Kluyveromyces lactis: one gene and its partners. The protein of the gene in region 3 interacts with the protein of the main gene of each other region in a pairwise test. Links are inferred from orthologs where the notes say so. Each region holds a gene or a part of one and is shown on either strand. Other genes may lie near its edges. The genes, in order: ARP6, HTZ1 and VPS71.

What was found.
Region 1: the proteins of VPS71 (region 3) and ARP6 interact in binary tests that used the Saccharomyces cerevisiae proteins (3 or more experiments, as listed by UniProt). The link is inferred for Kluyveromyces lactis from reciprocal best matches to the Saccharomyces cerevisiae genes VPS71 and ARP6.
Region 2: the proteins of VPS71 (region 3) and HTZ1 interact in binary tests that used the Saccharomyces cerevisiae proteins (3 or more experiments, as listed by UniProt). The link is inferred for Kluyveromyces lactis from reciprocal best matches to the Saccharomyces cerevisiae genes VPS71 and HTZ1.

The regions. Positions count from the first base shown.
Region 1 is NC_006042.1:1,755,894-1,759,112, forward strand, and holds ARP6 (Arp6p), read right to left. Parts: upstream 1,884-3,219; coding exon 636-1,883; downstream 1-635. Other genes in the region: condensin subunit SMC4, read left to right, coding at 2,218-3,219. UniProt on the Saccharomyces cerevisiae protein: Component of the SWR1 complex which mediates the ATP-dependent exchange of histone H2A for the H2A variant HZT1 leading to transcriptional regulation of selected genes by chromatin remodeling. Involved in chromosome stability.
Region 2 is NC_006039.1:522,340-524,828, forward strand, and holds HTZ1 (histone H2AZ), read right to left. Parts: upstream 1,055-2,489; coding exon 656-1,054; downstream 1-655. Other genes in the region: KLLA0_C05896g (OPA3 family protein), read left to right, coding at 1-211; PLB3 (lysophospholipase), read left to right, coding at 2,429-2,489. UniProt on the Saccharomyces cerevisiae protein: Variant histone H2A which can replace H2A in some nucleosomes. Nucleosomes wrap and compact DNA into chromatin, limiting DNA accessibility to the cellular machineries which require DNA as a template.
Region 3 is NC_006037.1:191,098-193,848, reverse strand, and holds VPS71 (Vps71p), read right to left. Parts: upstream 1,357-2,751; coding exon 607-1,356; downstream 1-606. Other genes in the region: STE14 (protein-S-isoprenylcysteine carboxyl O-methyltransferase), read right to left, coding at 1-226; carnitine O-acetyltransferase CAT2, read right to left, coding at 1,684-2,751. UniProt on the Saccharomyces cerevisiae protein: Participates in the catalytic exchange of histone H2A for the H2A variant HZT1, an euchromatin-specific factor, leading to chromatin remodeling and changes in transcription of targeted genes. Indirectly involved in vacuolar protein sorting.

The DNA of each region.
Region 1 (3,219 bases), on a different chromosome or scaffold from region 3:
TTCTCTATTCTGGATGTTAAACGTTCAGTGACAAGTTGAATTGAAATGAACACTAAACCATTTAGCCCTGTGCTTTTATATAACCGATTGCGATTTCTAACTATAAGTAAAAGAATAGATTGTCTCTGTGTAACATTTACCTTAATATATCAAAAAATACGTAATAAGCTTTCCTTTCACAGCTCTTTCTAAACAAGCTTTATCTTTTTTCTTTTTCTTGGCTTTCTTCCTTATTTCTTTCCGAAGCCAAATAGAGCAATCATGGGAATTCAGAGGATTACGGAAGTTCGGAACAATTGTGCAAAGCGCGTTGCATGTGAGAGAGTACTAAAGAACACTCGAGAAGCGACCTGTAATGAGCGCATTGCAGATACTCTACCCTCCTGAGCTTTGCTCCATCAAGTTGTCTTGTTTTTGTGTATATGAGTATGTGTGGTTTCTCCGTATGTGAAATATAGGGGTACTTCATAGAGGCAGGAGGGGATCATAGTTTTTTTACCCGGATTTGAATTTCCGCTACTAAAAAATAATACCGTAGCAGTAGCAGTTTCATTTGATATCACGTGAGCGTTTGTGAAATTGAACCTATGCATATATACTCTATATACACGAAAGCCGTGGTTGCGATCACATGGTTACAACCACTGTTGGTAGCCAAATCTGTTCTTGGTGCACCAATCGAGCCCGTGTTCTAGATATTCTTCTCTTGTGACCCTTGCTGAGCGGAACTGATCCGAGTTGGCAAAGTCTTTCATGCTTTCCCATCCGTGTAGAGATTTGTCCTTTTCCTGGGGTGAATGTACTTTGCAGCTCCAGTCTATCGGACATTGTCTTTGTAATTCTGTTTGTAATCGCTCGTGGAAGTTTGGAATGTTAAAATTGCCTCCGGTGCATACTATATTGGCAACAAGTAATGGTCTGACGACTTCGGGACACATGTTGATGCATTCTAGAATTGTTTCGACGATTCCTGGTTTTAAAATCTGTGCAATTTCAGGATGAAAGAACGTTTCTGGTACCGAGAAGACTTCATCTGTGAGTAATAAGGTCTGTGCATCATCCGTGAGCTTTTCTTTACCTGGTTTCTTAACGTACCCCAAGAAACTCGTTTGGAAGTCCGGTAGTACATACTCGACCTTTGTGTTCATTTTGTTGTGGAAACTTGAAAAATATGATTCAGGGGGAACAAAAGTACATTGCTCCTTGATGTTATTTACAAGTATTGTCTCTTCCATCACATTGTAATGCCTAAACGAAATGGTTTCCTGTAATAGGCCTGTTAAAAATCTGCCACCGATGTCGAGTTTCTTGATAGCTTTGTAATACGGTACTCCCTTTATTATAGGAACAGCCCATGTGCAGTTAAACCCCGAGTCTATAACTAATTGGAAGTCCTTGTATGAACTAGTTTTCTTGTCTTCAGCAGCGGTCATTGCGTCATCTTGATATTGACCCTGGTAAAAAGGAATATATTGTGCTACAGGTCCTTTGAACATAGATTTGAAATCATATTCTTCGAATATTACCTGGTCCATGTTTTTCGAAAGCTCTGGTATCGTCATGAGCGTCTCACTTACTACTAAATGATGATCTTTAGTGTCATTGTCGTGTGTCAAGTTCCAATGGAAGTCGTCCTCGTTGTAAAAACAGTAATCCCATACTTCACTTTCTAATTCCCATGATACAAGTTGACCCAATTCGTGAGGCCTTCTTATTAAAGCCTGCGATATATCCCGCATTTTCTTCGTTTGATTTGAAAGGTGGAAGCGAGAGTATTTGTCCTTGGTTAAGCAGTTTAACGCTCGCAGTGGCTGATCCCATCCACTCTCACCAAATTTGATTTCATACGATCCGTTATCGATCACCAATACAGGCTCACTCATTTTAATAGATGTATGATTATATTATTCCCATTAAATTATCCCATATAGCCAATTTGGCAAATCATCAGGACATTCAAAGAAGCGCGCATGCAGATTGCCTGTGTTTTTCTGTAGTAGTGCTACAATTTTTCTTCATTTCCTTTTTGTTATTTTTCAAATTTCATGTTTTGAAAAGATTGTTTGTTTACCAAACAATCATGATGTAAACCAAAGAACTTTTAATATTCTATCATGATGGCGATGGCGATGGCAAACCACCACAGCCAACGAGCACCTCGACCTGTAAAGCTATTATTCTGGTTGCCTCCTGTAGCTGCACTATAGCTTGATTGATATGACTGCAGACAGTTCTGTGCCGCATCTGGGAGACTCACCAGAAATAAAGAGGCAAAGAGTATCACAATCGCCAACAAGGACGCCAAGGAAGTTGGTTTTGGGCTCACCTGAAAAAAAATATGCCGTCTCTAATTCACAGGCTACTACTGCCGCTTCTAATACAATGGATCCACCGAGTCTGCAACCTCCTACGGCACATGCTGTACGAGGGCGCGAATACAGTCAGTCTCCGCCTAGGTCTCCTACGCGATCACCTACTAGATCTCCGACAAGAAAGCTTGAATTGATCAGACTTTCACCCAAAAAAAGTACACGACTTGAATTACAAAAGATGCACGAGGCCAATACTCAGACCTCACAGCGATTATGCATTGATAAATTGGTTTTGAATAATTTCAAGTCGTATGCTGGTATTCAAGAGATTGGACCATTCCACACATCATTTTCTGCAGTTGTTGGTCCTAATGGATCAGGAAAATCTAATGTTATCGATTCAATGCTTTTTGTCTTCGGTTTTAGAGCCAATAAAATGAGGCAAGGGAAACTCTCCGAGTTAATTCACAAATCTGAGCAGTTCCCGAGTCTGGCATCCTGTTCTGTCCAAATTCATTTTCATTACGTTCATGATACAGATAATGGTGAAACCAAGATTCTTCCATCGGCTGGTACAATGGTGGTTGAAAGAAGAGCATTCAAAAACAACTCTTCAAAGTACTATGTTAACGGGAAAGAGAGTAATTATACTGAAGTAACAAGACTTTTAAAAGAGGAAGGAATTGATTTGGACCATAAAAGATTCTTGATTCTTCAAGGTGAAGTGGAATCGATTGCCCAGATGAAGGCCAAGGCTGAAAAGGACAACGATGATGGACTTTTGGAATATTTGGAAGATATAATTGGCACAGCTAAATTCAAACCGCAAATCGAGAAGTGTCTAGAAGAGATAGAAACTTTGAATGAGGTTTGCATGGAGAAAGAAAATAGGTTCGAATTGGTAGAT
Region 2 (2,489 bases), on a different chromosome or scaffold from region 3:
TACGGGTAGTGTTGTAGTGTGGGAGACTTTAAGACAGCGTCAAAAGGAGCTGGATAGACGTGAACAGGTCACTCAAGATATTGCTTTTTTACAATCGGAAATCGAAGAACTGAGATCAACGACTAAGACCCAAAGCGACCAAATAAAATCATGTCAAAGTCTTAAGGAAGAACTAAAATTAATTCAGTCAAAACTCTCCTCACATAAATGAAAATACAAAAAGGATATTGGACCACCGATATTCTAACGGAACAAACTTGTATATAGTCCTATTCTGGAATGAATAAGTATTTGAGTATAGACGTAAACACAAGCTCTAATATTAACAGGTCATGAGTAAAAGTAGGAATTGGATTATAGATGTTACATATACATAACTGTTTAATAAAAATATGGAAATGGAATAGATGAGGGTTAAATTGCACTTTTGATATTTTGAGATAAGATAATGCGGTGAATTAGTAGTGTACCATCACGACAAGGGAAAAGAGAGGGGGGGGAAGTGGAGATGAAAATATACAACCCTTCACCCTGGGATATGATTACAGTTAGAGTCAAAAAGTAGAAGAAATATAATAATGAAATAACAATAGAGAGCTGTTTTTAAGCGCTTAGTCTCATTAAACTTCATTCAAATTGATACAATTTTCACGCTTCATTTATGCTTCTTTTCCACTTTCAACAACAAAGCCTTGTTGATATGAGGTAGAACACCACCAGAAGCGATAGTGGCTCTGATCAAGGAGTCTAATTCATCATCACCTCTGATAGCAAGTTGTAAATGTCTTGGGGTAATTCTCTTCACCTTCAAATCTTTAGCAGCGTTACCAGCCAATTCCAAAACTTCAGCAGTCAAATACTCAAGAACAGCAGTCAAGTAAATAGCAGCCTTGGACCCAACACGGGTTCTTCCAGCAGCATTTCTCTTCAAATAACGCTTCACTCTCCCAACCGGAAACTGAAGACCAGCTCTAGCAGAATGTGATTGTGATTTCAATGAACCACTGTCTTTGGCTCCCGACTTACCCTTTCCACCGTGTACTTTTCCTGACATGTTGTTTCTCCTATAATAACTTTAATATGCTCTTTCTTGCAATGTCTGATCGTATATATCTCAAACTTGAAAGCAAACAGCAGATTCTATCTTTTCTTAGTCCCTCTGGTCCAATATTCAACTTATGTGAAGTTAAGTTAAGTTAAGTTGATATCGATTTGTTTTTGTTTGTTTTGATGTTTATTTTTTATTTTTATTTTTCTGTCTGAAAGTTTCGTGTTTCCTCTCTTACTTTCATATTGTGAGATTTGCTACAAGTAATAAGATTTGGGGTAAGGGCTAGGAAGAACCGGGAGGGACGAAGGTATTTGAAATAATGAAGATATACAGGCATCGACATGTCTGGAGTTGTCAAAGGTGAACATACGGTTTGATTGGTCTAGCTTTGAAGTGCAGTTTGCCGCTTTCTTGATTTTTTTTTTTTTGCCGCCTGCTATTCTACCGGTTGTTTTTTTTTTCCTTTTCCCTCAGACGAGACAGCATGGCAGGGTAACTATTTATGAACTCGAGATGCTTGCAACCTTGTACCCTTAAAGAGCGTAGGAGCCACTGATGGATTTAAGAAACGTTCCGGCTCATTTCGAAGAACATATGGTAGTGGTGTTACTGCAATGATGGTATTTTCACTGTGTGTCCCCTTTAATTTTAAATGAGGGCCGGAATTCGTTTTTCGAATGGAATAGTAAAAGGGCTTTAAAGTGAATGCTTGACAACTGAGCATTTTCAGTTAGACTAATGTTCCAATTTTTGTACGTGCATCCGAAAATTTGTCTGTATTGCCAGCCTCTTTTACCTCCTTTCCTCCAACTAATAGGGGCTTCATGCAGCGTCTATTATAGGGGGAAGGGCATTTACTTAACAAAATTTTTGGAAACCCTTTGATAATAATGCACTTGTACCATTTCTTAGGTGCGTCGTTACTATGGTAATACATAGATTGTATTTTCCGTGCGTTTTTTTAGACATTTTTTTGCGGGCATGCGTGATGAATTCTAACTATAACAATCCTACACACTTTGCGTGAAGAAAAGTGGAAAATATAGAAGTTTAAATGCTCAGCTAATATTTTGTCATAAATCAATAAACTATGGAACCTGGTGAATATATAACAATGCTACCGTTTCTCTCATCTACATCTTGAGTCCTAACTCGACCCAATTAAGTTGATTTCCAAGTCCATAACTTAAAGCAGTTAAACAATCAGCTTTTACGATAGAAAGTCCACACTCGGTAAAATCAAACGATTATTTTATTGAATCTTTTGGAGTGTGTCACTTCTGTACATAGTATTATCGTGAAGGGCGCAGACATCAACTCTGAGTTAGGTTATCTATAGAATTGTTCCGAGTTAAAGATTAGTTTATTCCTTTTCTGATGTGGTTTTTGAACTCAGTTAATCTGTTGTTTCTGGTATGTTCGGTTGCCCTACATCTAG
Region 3 (2,751 bases):
CAGTAATCCAAAACTCTAACAGATGAAATATGGATAGTGAGATCATGTATATGTTGAAGTTCCAAAAAGGAGACAGGCATAATGTAATAAGGGATACACCAAAAATCACTCCTAGCATAAATGCCGTTAAAGATATCTCGTCCAATTCGTTCTTTTGTATATTAGGAAATGTTTTCCCATCAATAATCACAAGAACATCCTCACTTTCATCATCTCTGCTCGACATAACTTCCGCACCTCTCAATCCACGCCAATACCTTCACTGATTTCAACTAGAATAGCTCAGAATAAAAACCAAAAACCAGCGTGAAGGATTCTTCAAGGTCTGATATATTAATGGAATATGATGCGTACTGCTAAATACCAACAGCAAGGAGTTCAAATAGTGTCTTGTTCGATAACAAATAGTTAAGTTAAAGTCTTCTCTTTCATCGGTATTAAAATTGTTTAAAGTGAAAGAATGAAAAAAAAAAGATAATGGCCTCGATTTTATACTATAATCAGTATTTACAAAGACATCAACATGAAGCAACAAACACGGGATCATGAGCAGTGTTTTGAGGTTCAAAGAGAGTAGCTGTTAAGTTTTTTCAGCTAGCAGCAAACTCAGTTGTTACATCTTGTTTCACTGTGTAATTCATAACAGCGAAGACTGCATATCTTGTCATTGCAAACAACGCAGTTAGATATACTGGAGTAACCACCACACATAGAGCAGGTGACGATCATTGGTAAGACCCTGAAAAACTTCTTGTTTTGAACGTTACTATAAATGAGTGTGTGGTTCACTTGGTCTAAAGTTTCTAGATAGGAGTGTAAAGACCTTCTGCTTGAAAGTACTTTCCTTAGTGCTGATATTCTGTTGGAACTTTTCTTTGATTTCCGAGGCGGCTTGCTTGATTTATACAATAAATTCATAGACTTGGGCAAATCGAACTTGGCCATCCTCTGTCTGGATGAACCTGAGCCTGATTGTTGCTCAGATAATATACCGGTGCTTGTTTGATCGATCTTATCTTTGTTCAGCCCCGTGATGTTACTGAGAAGAGTTGTAACTTCACGAAGATCTTGATAGTTTTCTGTGTCAAGTTCCATGAACCGCTTATTAGATCGTAACAAATCAGGCAAGGCATGCTTATCAGATCCTGTCAGTTGATTTATGTCGTCTTTATCGCTTCCCTTGGGCTGATTATATATCTTTGCCTCCAAATCAGCCAATGAATAATTGACTCTCTTGTTTCTTGCTGAGGTTTGAGACTGTTTCGAGACCCTTGCACTTTGATGAGTTTGGTTCAAACTGCTGAAATAAATGTTAGGATTATACGTCCTCACATTGATTTCTTCTACCGACCTCATATTGACACTCTTCGCACGCTTCTTCCTTCTTTTATCCAGTGATAAAGTGTCTTCCTCGGTATACTCACTATGATAAGGTCGATTTTAAATTTCTTTGCCATATTCTCATTTGATATATAATATGGTAGATATGCGAACAACAGTAACTGAAGGGAGAGAAAAGATGTCAATCATTGGGTAAGATAGGCCGTTAACGTATGGTTGATGATGGTACCAATTGTTGCCAGTGCATCCTTGTTCAGTAATTCATAATAGATCATAAAGTGGTTAGAATATCATATATAATGGACTCGTACTAAAACAATATAAACTGGTGCCTGTGCTATATCATAGTTTGGCCTTGGCAGAGTTGTGTAGAGACAAAGTTTCATACATTTCATCTGCCGCCTTAGTTAAATAATAGTGTAGTTCGTCAACACTAAATCCAGAAGCTTCTGGTTTGTTGGTGATATTAATGTGCAAAAATTCGTTATTGATCATATAGGCTAAGCCAAATCCATTATCGTATACTTGAGACCAACCGTAACATTCAAAGTTTTCAGAGGATAATTGTGAAGTTGAAATCAACCAAGTAGAACTGTATTTGAACAATGCGTCTTGGAACAAAGGTACTGGCTCATCAGATTCATGAACCATGTTTTTCAACCCAAAGAAATGGCGATCAACGGCTTCACCGTTAGAGGCCATCTTCAAATATTCAACATGATCCTTGGCAGCATCGTAGAAAGCAGCAATTTTCTCTTCAGTAGTAGAAGTAGGTGATTCCCATGTTTTAACGAACTTGGAAGAGGATTCAGTGACCGGTCTACCAGTTTCAGTTCTACCTTGGAAAAACGCTCTGGTAGAAGCAGCTTCGTACGTTGGTAGTTGTTTCTTCAAATACTTGAAAACAGCAAGTTGAATCACCTGTTGAATGTAAGCATCTGGTGACACTTTAAATGTTTTCACAATTCTCTTACCATACCTATTATAGTGCCAAACGCGTAAATCTTCACGTTCCACTGTTGTTATAAATTGCAATTTTGCACTCTCGATAGTATTTCTCAAGGTTGGTGTAATTATAAATGGTAGATGTTCACTGTTCACAGAAGGGTAAGCTGATACGTTGGAATGTAAGGACTCGACGAACGCTGAAGGATTCAATTTTGTTAATTGATCCACGACGTAATGGTTTAAAAACAAAGTTGGAGTACCATCCATTTTCGAATGTTCTGCCAAGAAACCGGAGAAACCGTTACCAGTAACAAAAAATTGCAAAGGCTTGTCAAAGAATCTATTGGTTCCGTCTCCGTGCCAGCACACTCTAGACTTATCTTCCAAAGTTATTGGAGCAGTGTCCTGATCCAAACATAAGACGAATGAGGATTTGTGGATGGTTTCTAAAGAGGAGGAAGA